2 linked regions of the Daphnia pulex genome follow. The protein of the gene in region 1 binds, or shares a complex with, the protein of each later gene. Links are inferred from orthologs where the notes say so. Each region holds a gene or a part of one and is shown in the gene's direction. Other genes may lie near its edges. The genes, in order: polycomb protein Sfmbt-like and polycomb protein SCMH1-like.

Evidence for each region.
Region 2: the proteins of polycomb protein Sfmbt-like (region 1) and polycomb protein SCMH1-like are in contact, whole or in part, in a crystal structure (PDB 5J8Y), measured with the Drosophila melanogaster proteins. The link is inferred for Daphnia pulex from reciprocal best matches to the Drosophila melanogaster genes Sfmbt and Scm. Residues at the interface, in NP_001260432.1 of Drosophila melanogaster: Lys1176, Asp1177, Met1180, Met1185, Lys1186, Val1187, Gly1188, Pro1189, Leu1191, Lys1192, Asp1195; in NP_001247006.1 of Drosophila melanogaster: Lys831, His832, Glu833, Ile834, Asp835, Lys837, Ala838, Leu841, Leu842, Met846, Lys849, Tyr850, Met851.

Annotation. Positions count from the first base shown.
Region 1 is NC_060022.1:3,562,854-3,572,397, forward strand, and holds polycomb protein Sfmbt-like, read left to right. Parts: upstream 1-4,319; 5' UTR 4,320-4,666; coding exon 4,667-4,725; intron 4,726-4,787; coding exon 4,788-4,877; intron 4,878-4,944; coding exon 4,945-5,168; intron 5,169-5,233; coding exon 5,234-5,369; intron 5,370-5,448; coding exon 5,449-5,569; intron 5,570-5,643; coding exon 5,644-5,874; intron 5,875-5,943; coding exon 5,944-6,099; intron 6,100-6,167; coding exon 6,168-6,990; intron 6,991-7,045; coding exon 7,046-7,668; intron 7,669-7,731; coding exon 7,732-7,887; 3' UTR 7,888-8,317; downstream 8,318-9,544. Other genes in the region: ecdysone-induced protein 78C-like, read left to right, coding at 274-400, 483-646, 720-899, 998-1,192. UniProt on the Drosophila melanogaster protein: Polycomb group (PcG) protein that binds to the Polycomb response elements (PREs) found in the regulatory regions of many genes.
Region 2 is NC_060019.1:4,229,732-4,239,358, forward strand, and holds polycomb protein SCMH1-like, read left to right. Parts: upstream 1-3,774; 5' UTR 3,775-3,868; intron 3,869-3,929; 5' UTR 3,930-4,077; intron 4,078-4,146; 5' UTR 4,147-4,221; coding exon 4,222-4,243; intron 4,244-4,315; coding exon 4,316-4,779; intron 4,780-4,883; coding exon 4,884-5,076; intron 5,077-5,142; coding exon 5,143-5,370; intron 5,371-5,453; coding exon 5,454-5,600; intron 5,601-5,670; coding exon 5,671-5,880; intron 5,881-5,951; coding exon 5,952-6,158; intron 6,159-6,225; coding exon 6,226-6,435; intron 6,436-6,493; coding exon 6,494-6,876; intron 6,877-6,950; coding exon 6,951-7,085; 3' UTR 7,086-7,484; downstream 7,485-9,627. Other genes in the region: uncharacterized protein LOC124189850, read left to right, coding at 733-850, 1,187-3,189; MTOR-associated protein MEAK7-like, read right to left, coding at 7,699-7,763, 7,858-7,905, 7,971-8,013, 8,687-8,817, 9,023-9,074, 9,136-9,254, 9,326-9,441, 9,507-9,616. UniProt on the Drosophila melanogaster protein: Polycomb group (PcG) protein. PcG proteins act by forming multiprotein complexes, which are required to maintain the transcriptionally repressive state of homeotic genes throughout development.

The DNA of each region.
Region 1 (9,544 bases):
TCCTCTGTATCGCATTTATTTTTCCCGCTTTTAAAAAATGAAATGAAAAATTCCCGTTGATCTAACGCCATGCCAATAACATTATACCGCGTAGTGGACGTAACTGTAATAATACCAACTGGCCAGTTATTTTTTCCATCTACCTGTTAGTTGTCTGTTGTTCTTTATTAACTGGAAACTAACCATCGCCGTTTTTGCTCAACTTATTCATTTTCTTTTTTAAATTGGTTGATTTTTAAAATTCGGTCGTTTTTTCTTTCACATGGGCGACAGGTGATGGACGAAGGTGGGAACAACGACAACGCGGATGAGACCCGACGAATAGCCACCTGGTCGGCGCTGGCCACTCACATGACGCCGTCTATCCAGCGCGTCGTCGAATTCGCCAAACGTGTTCCAGGTAAAAAAAAAAAAAGAAATTTTCTCAGTCAACTCATTTGAACAAATGTTCTAATAAAATGATTTGAATTGGTTTTGAAAAGGTTTCCCGGAGTTGAGTCAGGACGATCAGTTGATCCTGATCAAGATTGGATTTTTCGAAGTGTGGCTGGGCCACGTCAGTCGACTGATCAACAGCCAGGAAGGAACGATGACATTGACGGACGGTGTGACCCTGTCCAAGCAACAGATGGACCTCATCTTTGACGTAATTGATTTATAAAAAATAAAATAAAAGTGAATTTGAAATGATACGAAAAAATTTGACCTTTTTTCTCCAGGCTGATTTCATCCAGACCGTCATGGGATTCGCCGAAGGCTTGAACCAAATGTCGATGAACGATAGTGAAATGGCTCTTTTTTCGGCCGCCGTTCTCCTATCGCCCGATCGGCCCGTCATTAACGACGCCAAGGGCATCGCCCAGTACCAGGAACGCATCACCGACGCTCTTCGATTACAGGTGCGTCCGTCCTCCGCTCTTTTCTCTATTTGATGCGCATCCATTTCGATTTTACTTCATCATCTTTTTTTTCTTCTTTTCTCATTTGAATTTCTAAGTTGTTGAGAAATCACGCCAGCGACCCGGGCCTGATCAACGCCGTTCTCCAGAAGATTGTCGAGCTGAGGGCCATTGGCCACCGACATCAGTCGCAGCTGGACTGGTACCGTCGCCGATGGAGTTTGCTCATTCACCTGCCCCCGCTCTTCGCCGAAATGTTTGACATCCCCCGCAGCGAGGAAGATCTGGCTTGAAAACCATGAGACAGTGTCACGCTTCTTTTCTCTTCTCTCAATTCTTCAGAGGAATTTTTAAAATTTTATTTTTTAAAGAGGGAAAAGAAAACCAAACAACCGATGGAAAGGGATGATGATAAACTTTTTGATTTTTATAGTTTTGAAATAGGATATTCGGACTCGAACGGTTCTCAAACCCATCCATCCATAGAATTATATATGTTTACACGAATAATAATTTTCACAATTTCGCGCTCACGAGTTTCATATATTTTCCCCCCAGAAAAAAAAAACAATCGAGAAAATCTTTTGAGAACCTATTTTAAGAAATTGAGATTTTTTTGCTTTAGTTTGTTATTATATCATCACACCGTGTGTACATATAATTACCAAATATTTTTTAAATAATGATCAAGAACAATCCGATTTTTTGATCTTCTTATTCTCACGAGTTCAAACCTTTTCCGTCCTTTTCTCCCTTATATATTTTTCGACATTTTGAAATGTTTTTGTTTTGTTTTGTTCCCCAGGTGATTTTTGTGTGTGTTTGCCTTTTATTCAAATGTGTTGTTTTTCATTTTCTACGAAATATTTCTCATTCTTCATCGCATTTTAAACACATTCGTCTCTCCCAAATGTCCCAAAGAAAAAAGTTCACCAACCCGACAAGTTAAAAAAAAGGATAAAAAAAAAAGAAATAACCCCGAATGATGAAATGAAAACTAATTTATATCATTTCCTTTTTTTTATATATATATACATATAAAATATAAATATATATATATATTCGGTATATATAATATTCCCACATGCTGTTGTGTAATACGCTCTTATTCCATCTGATGCCCCTATCTCTCTCTCTTTCATTCACGTATATAAGAACACACGCACTCACACAACCCAGTTTGATGTACGACGGTGAAAATATGTTTGTTCTATATTTAATTCTCTATACAGTTTTTAAAAATAATCATTCGAGACTCTCGTTATTTATTATCTTTTTTTTATATTGCACATCGCGGCGAAATAATGACGTGACAAAGATTTTTGAAACAACAAAAAATGAAATTGTTCGAATAGTTTTCTCGACTGATGTGATTCGGGATTGAACGTGATAAGTGCGTCCGGTATATTTGCATTTTCACATTCAATCCGCGCACGCAAGCGCACGCAAGGATCTGGAATGATTTCAAACCTGAATTTTGTTCTCCACAAGCTTTTAGACGATTGGCTGTGCGCTTGTTTGTGTTTCCCTTATGCGCGTTTCAATTGGTACGTACACGTTGGCGGGCATTAGTTATAGGTCTATCTTCCTTCAAATGTCTATTGTTACGATGGCGAGCGAGCGGTTGTTCTGCAATCGCGTATAACGGGCCGGGACGTATATACTACATCGTCGAGCTGTGTAATAACAACTGCACATCCTAGCGGCACAAAAATCGGAGAAAGGAAGAAAAGAAATAATGTACGAAAATAAACCCCGACGTCGAAAATAAGCTCAAATTATAACATATAACTCGGCAATACGCTGATGCCATTATGGCTTCAAGAACCTTCTTTTTGCTATTACAGAAAAAAACGAAAGAATAACGTTAATAACTCTCGCGCGGTTCTCTGTGTTTCCTTCACGACACTCTCTCAGAGAGCCGGAGGAACATACGTATTCTCTGCTGAGAAAAAATAAGAAAAAAGCTTCAGGTGAATCGTGACCGCGCGTTCCCTCATTAAACCAAAAAGAATAAGCGGAGAGAACCCCCGGCCGAGAGTCAAAATCCCGTTGGCAATTGCAATCGTAAAAATCACATTCTTATTATACCATTGAAACCGAGAAATTGAACGTGGTTCATCCCCCTCAAATGAAACAAAAAGCTTTTGCCGTATAGTTGAATTTCATCCCCATACTTGTTGATCCAAAACAAATAAAATAATAATAATACACTCTACTGCGTTCCCTTTTTTTTTGTTATTGGTTGTTGTCAATCACGGCCACAGTATCCCGTTCAGACACTCTCTGGTTATGTCAAACTAACCGTTGATTATTATGTACATTTACAGCTGCGGGAATCGCAAGTGAAACGGATAAGAAACAATGTTAGATTTGCTGACGCGGTTCGCGGGTGAACATGTAAAAAAATCAGACAACACAAATGACGTAACCGTATTCTCCTCTACGATTGCGAACTGTTGACAATGACTCGTTAAAAAGAAGAAAAACCAACGGCGAAAAGAATCGTAACGAGAAAAATGCTAAACCGCAATCCTCACTGGGTTCCGTTATACAAGTCGTTCTTTTATATTATTTCTTATCCAACGGGGGCCATTTCTTCCAACAATCTATACTACTACTTTCCAACATGTATAATATCGGAGCATGTATATTTTCTTATTACTCTTGGTTTCTGGGAGGAAGAAAGACAAAATATAACGTTACTTATTCGTTTCTGCGGTCGATTGAACTTTTTATTTTTATTTTTTTGTGTGTCTCCTAATTATTTTGTTTTCCCTGTAGGAAACATTTATTATTCAAAGAGCTTTTGCGTGACCCAGCGAAACCAAAAGGTTTTGACTTGTTGGTTATTTTCCCTATAGTGCTTTCGGATGGAAAAAGTATGTCTAACTTTTTTATACCTTGAAATGGTGAAAATAACATGTAGGAAATTAGGAATTCAATTTATTTAAAAAAAAAGGAAAACTTTAAAGTAGTGGCAACGCTGTTTTCTAGGGGCAAATTGATTATCGACCCCCCCCCTCCTTGTTGTGTTGTTTCCGGTCTTTTTTTATTTGGAGGAAATTTTTAATTTTGAAGGGGTGGTTTTCCCTTTGTTTTTTCTCGAGGAACCATAGCATCTCGTCAACGTTCTTTTAGTTGGACAGGTAAATAATATCGTTGACAGTCCAGCCAGTTGTCACGCCCCGTCGTCTTTAAAATTTTGGCCGTTTGACACATCGAAATTAAGGTACGACTAGTGCCTCCCGTTGGACGCCAACGCATTGCATTGGCCAATTCATTTGTTGTCGTTCATTATTTTTGTGATTTGGATTTACCAAAAAAATCGTTGATCAGGGTCTTTTGGCCTGTTGTTTCCTTCGTTGTCAAAGAAAGCGTCTCCGTTTGTCGCCATTTGTCAGAGAGAAAATTGTTAGTATATATATTTTTTGAAAAAGTCAGTGGCTGTTTCTACTTCCTTAGTATTTGACCGTTGGCGGCGGTTGGTGATTAGTAATTCAAAATTCCCTATCTCCTTTTAGCGGTCGTGAGTACCCGCCAAAAAATACGTTTCGCTTTAACGTAACTGCTAGTCATATTGACAAGAACTGTGCAGAGACTATCACTCTGCAGTTTTGGTTATTTTTACAATTTTCTGACTTCATTTTCAACTATTCAAACCTTTTGCATTTGAAGAAAAGCATTTCAAGTTGATATTTCAACAAATATATTGTACACTTTCATCAAATTCAGTGAGATAAGCTTTCTGTGATTTCTAAGTGGGAATGGGTCTTGCGTCTAATGGTGTCAGTTCAGTTGACAAGCGAACACCTGGTATAGAGGAGTGAGTAGGCCTGTTTGTCCATGTCTGGCATGTGTGACAATGTTAATATTTTGACGTTTTAGGGCAACCAACAAATCTTCTGAATTTCACCTGGTGTCCCATTCACATTATGAAGATTCTGATGGGGAAGATGCCAATCATCTCGGGTCCAAGTAAACATGCAATCTCTTTCATTGTGAAAACAACATGTATAACCGACAACTTATTTTTCCCAAACAGGAAAATCAAACCTGTCGATGGTCTAATTCTTAAAACACCCATAGCCTTCCAGAAGGATTCCGACTTGGATATGATCCCTATTCGTAAAGAGGGGATGGCAGTTTGTGAAAAGTGTGGAGCAATTGGCGTTAAACATTCATTCTACACCAAGGAAAGGAGATTTTGTAGTCAAGCGTGTGCTAAAAGTTTCAACGAAAGCCCGCACATGAGTTCCAATAATTCAGGTAATTCATCATCACATTAATAATCTATACTGACATCGTGTTTCATACTTTTATTGCATTTATAGAGAAACGTCTTAATTTACAACCCGGGCAGCAGCCTGTCAACAGGAAGCTGGGCCAACCAGCAGAAGATGTTCATGTGTATTCCAACAAAAAACGGCTGCTCTTGGCCAAAGAAGTACCTGGATCAGACAAAGACAAGTCCGACGAAATTATCACTCTATTTTTGTTTTCAAAATCAGTCGAAAGTAAAAGGAATGCTTGTTCTGTTTTTTTCCAGGTATGGATTCGATTGGGTGGAAATGCTGACTGAACCGGGCTTTGTAACACCACCCATTTCCTGCTTCCGTCATGCTCCTTTATGTGATACTTGGGCATCAGATGTCAGCGTCGGCATGAAGGTATATTGAATAAAACGGACTCAATTAAGAAAGAATAAAAGACGATTGTACGTTTGTTGCGATTCAATTTCCAGGTCGAGGTTGAAAACACTGACACCCGGCAAGCAACAGCCAACAGTGATCCACAATCGTATTGGGTGGCATCTGTCATCAGCCTGATGGGTTACAAGGCCTTGCTTCGCTACGAAGGCTTCGGCAATGACGATTCCAAAGATTTTTGGGTCAATCTGGCAGCTGAAGACGTCCACCCTGTCGGTTGGTGTGCCTCTAAAGGGAAACCACTGATACCACCACGAACTATCCAGGTACGAAACTCATTAAATCTCTTCCAACAAGCTATTCGGTTGATATTCATGTCAATTTAATTTCACTAGGACAAATACACCGAGTGGCGAGAGTTCTTGGTGAAACGATTGACGGGGGCCCGTTCATTGCCCAACCAGTTTCACGTTCGGGTACTTGAAGCCTGTAGATCTCGCTTCCGACTCGGAATGACCGTCGAGCTTATTGATCGCAATCGCCTATCCAGCGTAAGTGAATCATTGTCGACTGTGATGCCAACTCTTTTCTGATGTAACAGTTTTTGTATTTTTGACAGGTGAAAGTAGCCGTCATCGATATGATCGTTGGTCGTCGGTTGCTCCTCCGTTACGAAGGTTCGGTTCCCGATGAAATGGGATTCTGGTGTCACGAAGAATCTAGCCTGATCCACCCTGTAGGCTGGTCGCAATCTGTTGGTCACCACATCGATGCTTTGCCAGCCTACCTGGAGCGATGCGCCAAAAAAGTCTTTTTTCCTAATGATGCCACCAGCGAACTATTCAACGAAATGAAACCGACACAAGGCAATGGAGCGCTCAAGTTTAAAGAAGGCATGAAGCTGGAAGCGGTGGATCCTCTCAACTTGGACCACATCTGCGTTGCGAGTGTTGTCAAGGTCTTGCGGCAAGGATACTTGATGATCCGCATCGATCGACAAGAGGCTGATGCCGGCGATGATCAGGTTGAAGATCCCGGCGAGTTCTGTTATCATTCGAGTTCGGCTTGTATCGCTCCGCCTGGATTCTGCGAGGCGAACGCAATCACTTTGAAACCGCCGGAAGACTACGAAGGTCGCTTTCGCTGGGGAGACTACTTACGACAGAATAAAGCCACTCCAGCACCGGAATCCCTTTTTGGCGGGCGAGACGAGAACATGCCGCAGTTACGCGTAGGCATGCGGGTCGAAGCGGCCGACTTGATGGATCCTCGCCTGGTTTGCGTTGCTACGATTGCACAAATCGCTGGCCGGCTAGTTCGTATCCACTTTGACGGTTGGAGTGATGACTTTGATCAGTGGATGGATATATCTTCACCAGAGATCTACCCAGTCGGTTGGTGCGAGTTGGCCGGCTACCGCCTCGAAACTCCTATTGCTCCTGGTATGATTTAATTGTTGTTTTAAGTTTTACTTTTTAACTGAGTCAATTCTTCTAGTAGTTGTGGCGCCAGTCGTAAAGAAGGGAAGGAAGCCCGGCCGAGGTGGAAGAGGAAAATCCAGAGGAGGTGCCAGGGGCGGCGGCCGGTCTCAAAATATCTCTACCTCAACTGCTGCACCAAATGCCGTGGTTAACAAAAGGGAAAGATCGCCATCAGCGGATTCTTCAAAGGCAGCAGTGCGCGGGAAAACTGCAAAACTCATTCCCTTGTCAACTAAGAAATCTCAGGAAAGCCCAAGGAGTCTTCGCTCACGTGGTGGTCAGAATCAAAACTGTCCATCACCGGCCGACGAGGCTCCGACTGCCATTCAAAACCCCCACCAGCGGTCTACCAGACGAAGAACAGAACCTGACGATGCGGAAATGAGCAATTCGAGTTTTGGAAGTCCTAACAGATCCATGCCGCCAACTTCAGCAACCGTCCCGAAAGCAGAGAGCCACGCAACCGGAGAATCGAACGATTACAATGGCAAGCGCATCCCTAGGCTGATTGACATTTCTGCGGCCCTTCGAAGAGAAGCATTGTCCGGTGTATCACCCCTCGAATGGACTACCCAAGACGTGGCTCAGTTTTTACGAGTCAACGACTACACTGCCTATTGCGATACATTTACTAATGCAGTGAGTATAACATTTTTTAATTTGAAAGATTGCAGAGTGTAGTCATTTTTATTTTCTTCACAGTCGGTGGACGGACGAGGACTCTTGTCGATGAGCAAGGACCAGGTGTTACAACTTACCAACATGAAACTGGGTCCCTCGCTCAAGATTTTTGACCTTGTCAGTCAACTCAAATCAAAAGTTGGCCCCGGTTCTCGTCAGCAGAATGCTAGTAATTAGTCACCAGGTCCCAACTCTCTTCTTTGTTTCATTTAACCTAGAAAATGACTACAAACGGTCTTAATTCCTCTTCATCCCTCGCCCTTCAATCGGTTCTTTAAAGACTCTTTACTTCCCTGCCAGCTTCAGTTGAGTTGATAGCAAAGATGGAATTTTTTGTGATTCTTCACTTGATTCCACTTGCCGTTTTTTTGTATATGTAGCGCGTGTCTCTTTCGACACGACTCACCCGTCTTAATTAACACCTGCACACCTCGCCCATGATCGAACCCAACGTAAGAACCATTGGAAAAAAAACGGGTTCCCTATCGGTTGGTCGTGGTAACACAAACAATTTCTTACTAACAACCAAACGATCTTTTTTGTTTTAAAAAAGAAACATTTTTGGTGGCACACTTGAAGTTAAAATAAAAAAGTGTTCTTTTTGTGATTTAATCTTGTTTTTGTTTTTCTATCATCTTTTGGCAGTGGTGGCTAATAGGCATCCACTTTGGCGAAGCGTTTCCAGGAAAAAGGAATTTAGAAATATTGACGACAAAAGGTTACATAAAGTTAGTTTCCTCCGATCAATACTCGCGAGAACTCAAAATTCAATGAAATAGATGTGTTGCACAGTATTGAATTTGCATGACAGGACTGATTTCGCCTAAGGTGCTTAGCAGTTAAACATTTATTTGAAAATGTGATATTGAACTAGTGTTTCCTTTTGTGAAAACAAATCATTCAATCGGATTTCCCAGTTTCGATATGCGTCATAGTATTTTAGTCGGCGAAAGCTGAACCGTTTTAACAAAGTTGTGTAAGCCTCTGTTAGAAAATAATAATGAACGATAGTCGCACTAAGATGCAGCGAGGAGCTTTGTCGTTATTATCCTACGCGGAGAAACCCACAATCAATATTTAACAAGCTCTAGCAAACGGCATATTTAATAATAACTGACGATGAACGCAATAATCCATTCCCTCTTGTTCGGTTATTCCGTATGATGTTCAGTTGACGTGAAACTGCCAAATCTTACGAGACCGCATGCAAATTGATTTGTTGACAAGAAACAAAATGAACTCTTTCACTTCTTATTCTTCCATCCAGCCCTCTGTAAAATGTCTCGAGATCGTGTATTTTTATGTCAATTACGAAATAAATTGGCCCCGACTAGCGGAAATAGGGAAACAAAATGGTAGAAAATGTCATGTTGGCCAGATTCATTTAGGAAGAAAAAAACTACAAAAAGAAAAGGATTGATCGAAGAACGCAGCTCGCAATACCAATTCCGTCAGCAATATTTGCACACACTTTTGAGTAAAATTTAATTAAAAAAAAAAAACTTTTGTTGTTGAAGTAACTGTTTACTGAAAATCAGTTTGTTGCTTACTTATGATTTGACCGCAAATGTAACTATAAATAGAGGTGAATCTTTCAGTTGTCTTATTATAGCCATGCAAAGTTGCCCAATGTGATAACTGCACTGGCCCGTCGCCCTGCCGGCCCGGCCGTCGGTCCGTGTCCGCCGTAGCTGTGTAAAATAGGGCCAATCCGTCAACGTTGTAAGCGATTGGACCGTTGCCGAATCTAGGTGGCAGCACTGGTGATCGGGTACAGCAGTCGTACTAAAGTTCTTGGGATTTTGCTACGTGACTTAAGTTTCTCGACGATTCA
Region 2 (9,627 bases), on another chromosome or scaffold:
TATCAGTATAATGATGACCTGTAACCTAACTCCTATTTCGTAGATAAAGAAAAAGATCACGAAGGTTCCAAAAAGGCAAATATGTAGGCTAGCTAGTATTACTACGTCGTAGTAAATTCGAGTGCTGGATGGAATCCTTATGACTGACTTATTGCCTTATCGGCGCTAAAATAACTGAGTTGTCATCGTAATGGAAAATAACTATTAAATAATAAATTTTTGATTAATTGATTGTGCGCTTACTGCCATAATTTATAACACAACGTTGTTTTGCGCATTGGTCCAAATGGACATTTTGATGAGAAAAACTACTGTTTTTTCAGCGGTTCAAAATGTAGTCGTAATAAGTTTTGTTGATGAATCACGATTTTGATTTGCTGATCACGCACTCGAAACCATACGGCAGAAAGTTTGTCGTTCAAGATCTATAGCAATTTTTTCTGTGTTAAAAAATTGTTCTGGACATTTTAAATAATATGTAGCAATGGAGGATTGTAGTTTTACCATAAGTTCACGCCTTTTCTCTATGTGTGATGAAAAATGATATGTTAGTTCAGATACCGTTCGTGTCAAAGCTGACAAGGTCCGTGTTATGGTCTGAATAATAATTTAAAAAAAAAATCGCGACGATCATATTTGAACGTTTTTTATGTGCTCACTTGGCAGTAAGCGCCAGTTCAACAGTCGTCTGCGTCTGCCTTCTGAAATAAAGTTAAGAATTGCGAATGAAATATGGCTGTTAAATACAGATATTGCCTTATCCTTATTTTATTAGTGATAAATATTCATTCTGAAGTAACGCTTACTTCCGGTTTATCAGCAGCTGATTTGACAAAAACACATTCAAATGGCAAGTAAAAAAATTCGGAATTAGGTTCGTTTCATGCTGAAAAATCTCTCATCTGTATTGTTGCTTCATCTTGCCCATGGGAAAGAATTTTTTTTACTTAATGCATTAAGTATAATAAAACATATGACTATTAAATTTTTTCGAATTTTATTGCATGTATTGTTTATCTTGAGTAGCTATAGTTATGTAAAAATAAAATTTGTCGGTTAAGCGAGAAAAAACTAAGCACACATACGTACACACAAATAGCGTTTTCGCCAGTTTTCGCTCGTGGATTTTTCAATACCAACATATAAAAATAAACTAACCCAATATTTTTGTTTTCTTTAATTGCAGTATCGTGTGAAATGAAGATGAAAGAAAAAGGGGCACTTCTTTTTGACGGAAAGAGTCTAAACGAATCACTTGCGCTCTTTATGCAAGTCTTTTACAACTGGAATGACTTGTTGACTACCGGTGCTATTGGTAGTCTTTTGGAATGGTCCATTGCCACCCTTTACACAGATATTACAAACACTACTTCAACGGGCGACACAGAGTACTTTCGTTCCGCACTGCGGCCAATCATTCGACGTGCCCACTTGTCTTTTCGCAAAGCTTACGCCAATATGAAGGAAATTCAAAAAAACAAGGTTCAAATTCAAAATCACGCCATGAACGCTACCAACTACCTTACGTCCACCAGTTCTCGTCAACAAGAAATTACTGGCAATCTACTAATGGAAACGTTGGTACCACTGATCGAGTTGGCGGAGCGAAGCAAAGAAATGTCTAATGAAGTAGCCCAGAGTTACCAAATGGTCATTGAATCGATAACTGAAATCATACGAGAATGTAATGCCAGGCTAAAAGAGAAGTTCGTCGAGGTTCGACCATTGAACAAAACAGTCATTGCAGCCAAACAGTCAAGGGAGGATGAGATTGTTTGGCACCAAGAAAAAAATTGGCTACTGGACAAGATGTGGAGGAATTTCGAAAACAAGCAGCCGAATATCTACATGGAAACTTGGCTTGACAACCGCTGCTTTAACACCAATAACATCAGTCGACAAAACCCCTCGAAATCGATTAAGAGGCAACGCAAAAATTTGTCCGAAGATGAGCGTCGTTCAGAATTTTTCTTTCGGGCTGGAAATTGGAGGTATTTGTTTCAAGAGATTGCCTATAATGAGGATGATTGTCTAAAAGGAAACTACTTGCCGCTGTTTGATTTGCTTTCAACTGGGCATCAACTTACGAAAAAGTGTCAGACTAACGGCGATGATGAAGTAGAAGAGTTGATGAAGAAGCTCAATCAAACGCTGGGCATCCTGAATCAAAGCGACTGCGATTTAATAAAAAAGGTCGCCACCACTTTTAAGGAATTGGCGACTAAAATAAAACCCCCCAGTACAACGAACTTGAAACATCCGAAAACAGAGCTCAATTGCCCCGGTTCAAAAGAAATGGATGATCTGGCTTCTTTGATTGCCCATCGACACATCAAACTGATTCAAAAAAATAATCAAGAAAACAACTTATTATTTAAAGATCTAAATCATAACCCAAATATGAGCACTATTATGCATGAACATCAACGCGATCGGAAATTGGAACTAGTCAAAATAGCGTCAAGTATTCTTGAGCTTAATGAACAGACAACGAAAATATGGTGGCAACGAACGGAGCCATTCTTAAAGAAAATATTCGAAGTCATGGAAAAAGCCAATGCTTTAAATGAGGGGACGACTTTCAACGAAATCCTGATGGAAAGCTTGCACCAATTCACCCAACACAAAAAGAGTTGGGACAAACTGACAAATTTTATTTCCAAGTTAGCATACGAGAGTAAAATAACTGTTATGGGGAGCTTTTCGCTAATGGAAATCACTCGAATCAATGGCAATAGTCACCGGAATACGGAAACATCACTTAATCATACCGACATGAAACATGCTATTATAAGAGACCTGCTCAACCGCATTGAAAAAGTCAAGCAAGGATCACTTTCTATCGAAAATATAGCATCAAAATTTGTTAGCGTCACTGAACGATATATTACTGACATGTTAAGCGTTGAAGATCGAAATAACAGTGTCAAGACTGAGTCAGTATTTTCCATCAGTGCAATTTCACAGCAGAAACTCGCCATTCGAAAATGTTACCTGAGACAATCCAGCCGCAATCGTACACTATCCATTTGCCGTAATCCTGAAAAAGGTCTAAAAGCATTTGGAATCATTCTGATAATGAAAGAGGATGACGAATCATTAATTAAACGCCAACTCCTACAAACCCGCAAAGATATTTTGAAAGAATATCAATGGATTATGGCGGATTGCCAATCTCCGGTAGCCTAGACTACAGGCTATATGACACATGAGAGTGCCGACGTTCATCGGTTTGAATTCAAACAAGTCTTAAACTCTAAAAATTAAAATACACAGATACGGATACAGTAAACGACGAAGTTTTCATTAAAATAATGTTACTATCATTTATCAACACAACACACTACTTTCTTTGTATTCTAATATTCATCAGATCTAAGCAAAATGCATATCATAAAAGCGTGTGTGATAGTGTTGCCAAATTAAAACGCAAATAAATAAAAAGTCTTATCGATTCCATGTCGATTCTTACGTAAACAATCTAAATCTATTTCCAAACTGCGTTAAATATTTAGAAGGCGAATGATTTGCAGTTTACAGCATATTTTATATAAACAGAATTATTAGCGTGGGAAATTAAAGTAATGGCGGTTCGATCACTGATGTTTTCTGTCGTAGATTATATTGACTCTTTACCAGAGAAAAACAGACAATGCTTTCTTTTATAATGTCCGAACCAGTCCGAACTGGCAAATATAAAACATAATGACTAATGAGTATTTTTAAAATAATAATTATATAAAAAGTCAGTTATCGATCTGAAATTATATCGATAGTTAACGATTCGTGATTTTCTCAAATCAATTGTATCGAATTTCTGCACAACGGTTGGTGTGAAAAACAACGGTCGCGTCGGCATATGGAAGACGTACATAAAAACATTTTAACATAATTTAATAAGTTTTATCGAAGTTATTTTAACGTACTAGTTCAAGAAAGATTCTATTTTCCACGAGATCATCGTTGCCTTGAGTTAGAAACAACCGCAGCACTGAGCAACTGACAGTTGAGAATCGATCTCACAGATCTCCATTTCTGTTTTCATACTTCCATGCTTCTGTCATCAATCAAATTCAGGTTTGTTTTTGAGGATTTCTAATTGTTTTGAGTCATGTACAACTGTCCTTTATAACTGAATATATTTAGGTGGCTTTGGAAATTCAATAATTGTCTTGGCTGTGAGGAGTGTGAGGTGCTGAGAATTCATCATTTGAAAGCAGAATGAGCCATCAGTCATTATTTCGTATGTTTTCTGGTTATTTTATAGCATCAATGCACTTTACAATGTTACTTAAAAACTATCTTTTTGTTAAAGAGCACAGCAAAGTCAATGGTACTCCAGTGGTGGCTGAAGGAAGTATTTTACCCTGTGGTTGGTGTAGCCAAACAGAAAAACCCAACCTATATGTTCTGCCACTGAAGAATGGAAGACACATTTTTTGCTCTGCAACTTGTTTATCAGAATTCAGAAAAGGAGTGTGTTTTCAGTGTGGAGAAGCAATTTCTGGCTTACCATTTCAAAGCCTTGTGAACTTGTCTACAAGAGATTTCTGTAGCGAAAAGTGTTACCTAAAATTAAAAAAGAGAGAACTGAGTAAACAAATGAAACCCTCATCTTCAGTGGAAAGTTTACAGACCAGTCCCAATGTGTCACTTGCATCACCAGCAGTTCATTCTGAATCACCTTTATTATTGAGTGTCAACCCTTACACTTTTGCATGGGAGGATTATCTAGCAGAAACTGGAAGTTTAGCAGCTCCCCCAGTTTGTTTTAAACAGGTATATTGTTGAATTTATTTTTACCATTCAGACTTCATCTATTAGGCTTACTATTTATTATTCATTATTGCAATTATTTTTTTACGGACGAATTTCGGAAACAGCACGCAAAGCCACCAACCAATGAATTTCTCTTTGGAGTCAAGCTAGAAGCGCAAGATCCACGTAATTTGACTTCAACTTGCATTGCTACAGTTGTCGCAGTAATTGGCCCCCGGCTCCGCTTACGTCTCGATGGTTCTGATAACAAAAATGATTTCTGGAGATTGGTTGATTCCAATGACATACATCCAATAGGTAAGGGTCTCACAACTAGATACTGATAGCCGTACAGAATCAATAATTACTCTGGATGTTTATCAGGACACTGTGAAAGCAGTGGGGGAATGTTGCAGCCTCCTTTAGGTTTCCGGATGAATGCCTCATCTTGGCGTACATTCCTCTCGAAAACTCTCACTGGAGCTGAAACTGCACCAAGCTGCTACTTTAAAAAAGAGCCTCTTTCACCCCGATACAACATGTTTCGAATCGGCCAAAAACTTGAAGCTGTTGATCGCAAAAATCCACATTTAATTTGTGCTGCCACAGTTGGTATGACCTAGTCCGGCAGCGTTAATTAGTTCAACCTAAATCGTAGTATTGAAACTCAATCTGACATATTTCTTTTTAATTAGGTGCTGTAAACAATGATAGTATTTTTGTTACATTTGATGGATGGAAAGGCGCTTTTGATTACTGGTGCCGATATGATTCTAGAGACATTTTTCCTGTTGGGTTTTGTGCAATGGTTGGACACCCACTTCAACCTCCCGGGCAGAAATGTAATCTCCGCTTGCTTAATTTAAATATTTTTCTTTTCATTAAGTAATTCGAACCTTTTCAATTTCTTAGTTGCTCTTACGACTGGAAGCCGATTCAAATCTCGCGTTCTCAACATACCTCCTCCTCCTCCTTTACAATCTTCGTCATCGGGAATAGATAAATTGCCGACAGAAGTTGGAAAGTTGGCGATTTCGTCCTCAGATACTGGAGCTAAAACAGAACCTTGCGTCGTCGTTTCTGAACCGGATACGTCCTCGATTGAAAGGGAAGCAGCAATTGGTAAGATTTTCTTATGTTTTGATGACTTTTTCCCGCCCTATTTAAAATGGATATGTTTTAAACATTTTCAGTGAGCATCTATGTCAACCACTCGTGCAACTGCGGATCTCACTTGGATCCCAATAAAATACGACAGCTAAAAAGATCAATTGGACCTGGAACGCCGAGCCAAGTTCTGCGGGACACCGTTCAGGGTTTAGTTGACGCCGCGCTACAAACCAAACAAACCTTCTCAATCCTCCGGACACGTCAAGGTGACGGAGACGTTATCATTCGTGGTAAGAACAATTAATCATTTAATCCAAATTTCAATTTGCCTCTCTGACACTGTTTTCTTTTCGTTAGCTAAATATGAAAATGTAGTTCATACGCTTCGTTTGCCTCCTGTTGACGATTTAGTGGGGCTTGAAACCTACCTGGAACTGTTGTGCGAAGATCTCGGTTATTGTGAAAATTTGATTAGTACAGTCGCCGATGTTAATTGTAAAAAATGCGTCGCCAATTTGGCCGATCATTCAATCAAGCCAGACACCTGTCGTGCAAACAAACGGAAAGGTATCAATCTACTGTCCGATATTATTTCAGTAATTGCTACAGCACGGATTTATCTTAGCTCGAGAATACATCAAGACTCCCGTCAGTTCAAAAAAGAAAATGATGACTAGCCCCAAAACTGACCCTATCAATAGCAGACGCGAAACTGTTTCTCCTCCGCACATTCTGCCGGCCGAGAGTTGTTTAACCACTAAAGCGCTGAACGGGAGAGCAACAACACTTAAAACTGAATCGAGCCCCGAGTTACAACGGCCTGATCTACAAAGAGCCACATCTACTACTAGTCATGAAGCTGAGATCAATGCGTTGACAGCCCTTGCGACTACGAAGGCGCCCTGTACACCATCCGATCCTGCTGAATGGTCGGTCGATGACGTGATGCGCTATCTGACTTCTGTTGATTCAGGTCTAAACGTACACTCTCAACTCTTTCAAAAACATGTAATTCGATTTTTATTTATTATTTCATTACTGCAAATATTTTACTAAAGCATTATTTCATCCGTGTGTGGCAGGAAATTGACGGAAAGGCCCTACTTCTTCTCACCTCGGAAATGATGATGAAGTATATGGGGCTGAAATTAGGCCCTTCTCTTAAGATTTGTAACTCTATAAACCGACTGAAAGGGCGCCGTCATCTATCAATTTGAAAGCGAATGCTGAGGGCAGTGGCAGCCTAAGAGCCTATCGACATTGGACAAAAAATGCTAGGCTGCCAGAGACCTTTGAACCTTTCCTTGCGAAATCCAACTAACATATATAGAAAATATATATTTGATCCGAATCGTCTGTGATAATCACGAAAGTAGGGGACGGGGCCTCTGGCCATTTCTCGATACGTGTCCTATAACTTCGCTTGTATTACATTCGATTTGTTGTTTTGGTTAATGTATTTTTAACCATGCTTTGAGTGAATCGTCGTCCCTCATTTTATATGAAACTTTTCATTTTAAATTTTAACGTACAGTTCATATTTCCTGAAATTAGGTGCACATGAGATCAATTAAGGTTTGCTTTTGTGCTCACAATACATTCAATTAAAAAATCAATATGTATAAAAACCTTAAACATTCACGATTGCCGGGTAGGACAATTAAAAGGCAATAAGGCTTCACCAGAAAACGCAAAAATTAATAATAAAGAAACTTGTTTAAACTGCATATTCTAATAATTATATTTTGGCTTTATTATCTTCAAAGACAACGGAGCAATAAATTGTTTTGACTAAGAAATGGAATGGATCTAAAACTCATCGGTGACGAGTTATTGAGATGAGACCGATGACACATACAGCTCTTTCTCTTCGGGATCATCCGATGTTGGGTTTTCTGAGAATGAAATTAATTTCAAACAAATTATAAGGTAAGTAAGTAAAGAAAAAAATAAAACTCAGAAGGACAATTAGTTTAACTCTTATTTTACCTCGCATTCCTTCTGAAACTGGTCCACGATTCAACATTCTTAGCATGGCTATAAAATATTTAAATCGGTTAAATTAAATAGAAATATCGAATTTACAAGAAATATTTACGTACCTTTACCCTCTACGTCTACGTCCAAAATGCTTGGCCGTGCCTCCTAAAAGAACATATTTAAATGTGGAAATTAATCATTTTGCTAGTACAGGATTTTATACGATAAAGCAAAAAAAAAATTAGTATGAGCGAAAGAGCGAGCAATTAATGAATTTTAAAAAAAAAGATTAGTTGATAAGAGCATTCAGACTTCGACGACAGAAAAAGCGAATTGCGTATTAATTCGTTCTCAGATTAATTTAAAGACAGGCAGGAACGGGTAAATCAAATCAAAGCGAATAATTGGGTACTAAATATGATTTAGTAATGTTTAAAAAAAAAGAACAAAACTACGGAGGTGAACGAGCGAGCGGGTTGAAATACATATGCAATATTTATGTTAACAGAGCTTCTAAAGGTCTGACCCAACGATCAATCTTCGTCTACTGGTTCGCGTAATCCTTCGCTGTGCCTCTCTTTCCCAATTATATCGAGCATGGCCCTGTCTTCTTGGTTTGTGTCCAAAACGCTTCCTGTGCCGTCTCTTCTTTTCACCTTCATTCAGTCACCCGAGCGGCAATAATGTAATTATTTAAAGTAATAGATGTAAAGTTACTCGCGGTGTCGTCATCAGGTTTATAAATTATCTTAAGACAATTTCCATTTGTTGATGTGTTGATTCATTGACTAGTCATAAATCATGGGGTATGCTCTACAACCAAGAGAAAATAACTTACCGTTTCATCTTCGTCTTCAGTTGGTTCTGGACCGACGGCCCACACTTCAATCATATCGATGGAAAACTCTGGTTTACCGGACAGCTGATGGCAGTTAAATGTCGTACAACTGGGTGAACACTTGCCTTTTCCTATAAAAAAAAAAGTGTTACAATCTAAGATTTGAATACGCTTGCTGTCAAAATGTTGTTTAACTATCGGATAAGAATTACATGCGATATAATAAGCGTATAATCTCGGGCATTAAACAAATAGAGAAAATGTAAATGCTGTTTTCTAATTATTCTAGTAACATTTTTCAATATTGAATAACAACTGAATTTTAATTAAAATTACCATATTCCGAATCAACCCAGATGGCAAAATAGTCCAGTTGACCGCCCATTCCCTAAAGTAAGAATTAGAATCCAGAAATTTAGAATAAACTTTTAAAAAGGCAGATTGAATACCATTCCATTGGGAAAAGTTTGTTGTTGTAGGTTTAAGTACTGGTAGTGATCGTTGAATCCTGTTGTATTATATATAGCCATTTGTGGTGCTAATGAGAACACAAAATTGTCCTTTGTGCCTATGTACAACGATATGAAACTTAAAAAACTTGCGCATTGACATTTTTTGTACAGGTTAGTGATTACATACCTTTAAATTGCGGACCCACAGTCCAACTCGTAGAAGCAAACCCGCCAAAAATATGCCCATCAAAGTCTTTAATAAAAACGACAGACGGTCCTTTATCGATGATGTTACCCATGAGGCTACAACGAAATGGAATTAATGAGGTAATGTACGTACTAACGCTAATTCCTTAAAAAATTCAAACCTTGAAAAACTTTCGCCGTGTATGCGGCTAGAAAACAAAAACCTCCATTCACTTCGCAATTCACTTGGTAAAGCACAGTTAATAAAAAGAATATCTGAAAGCGATAACCACTATAAATTTT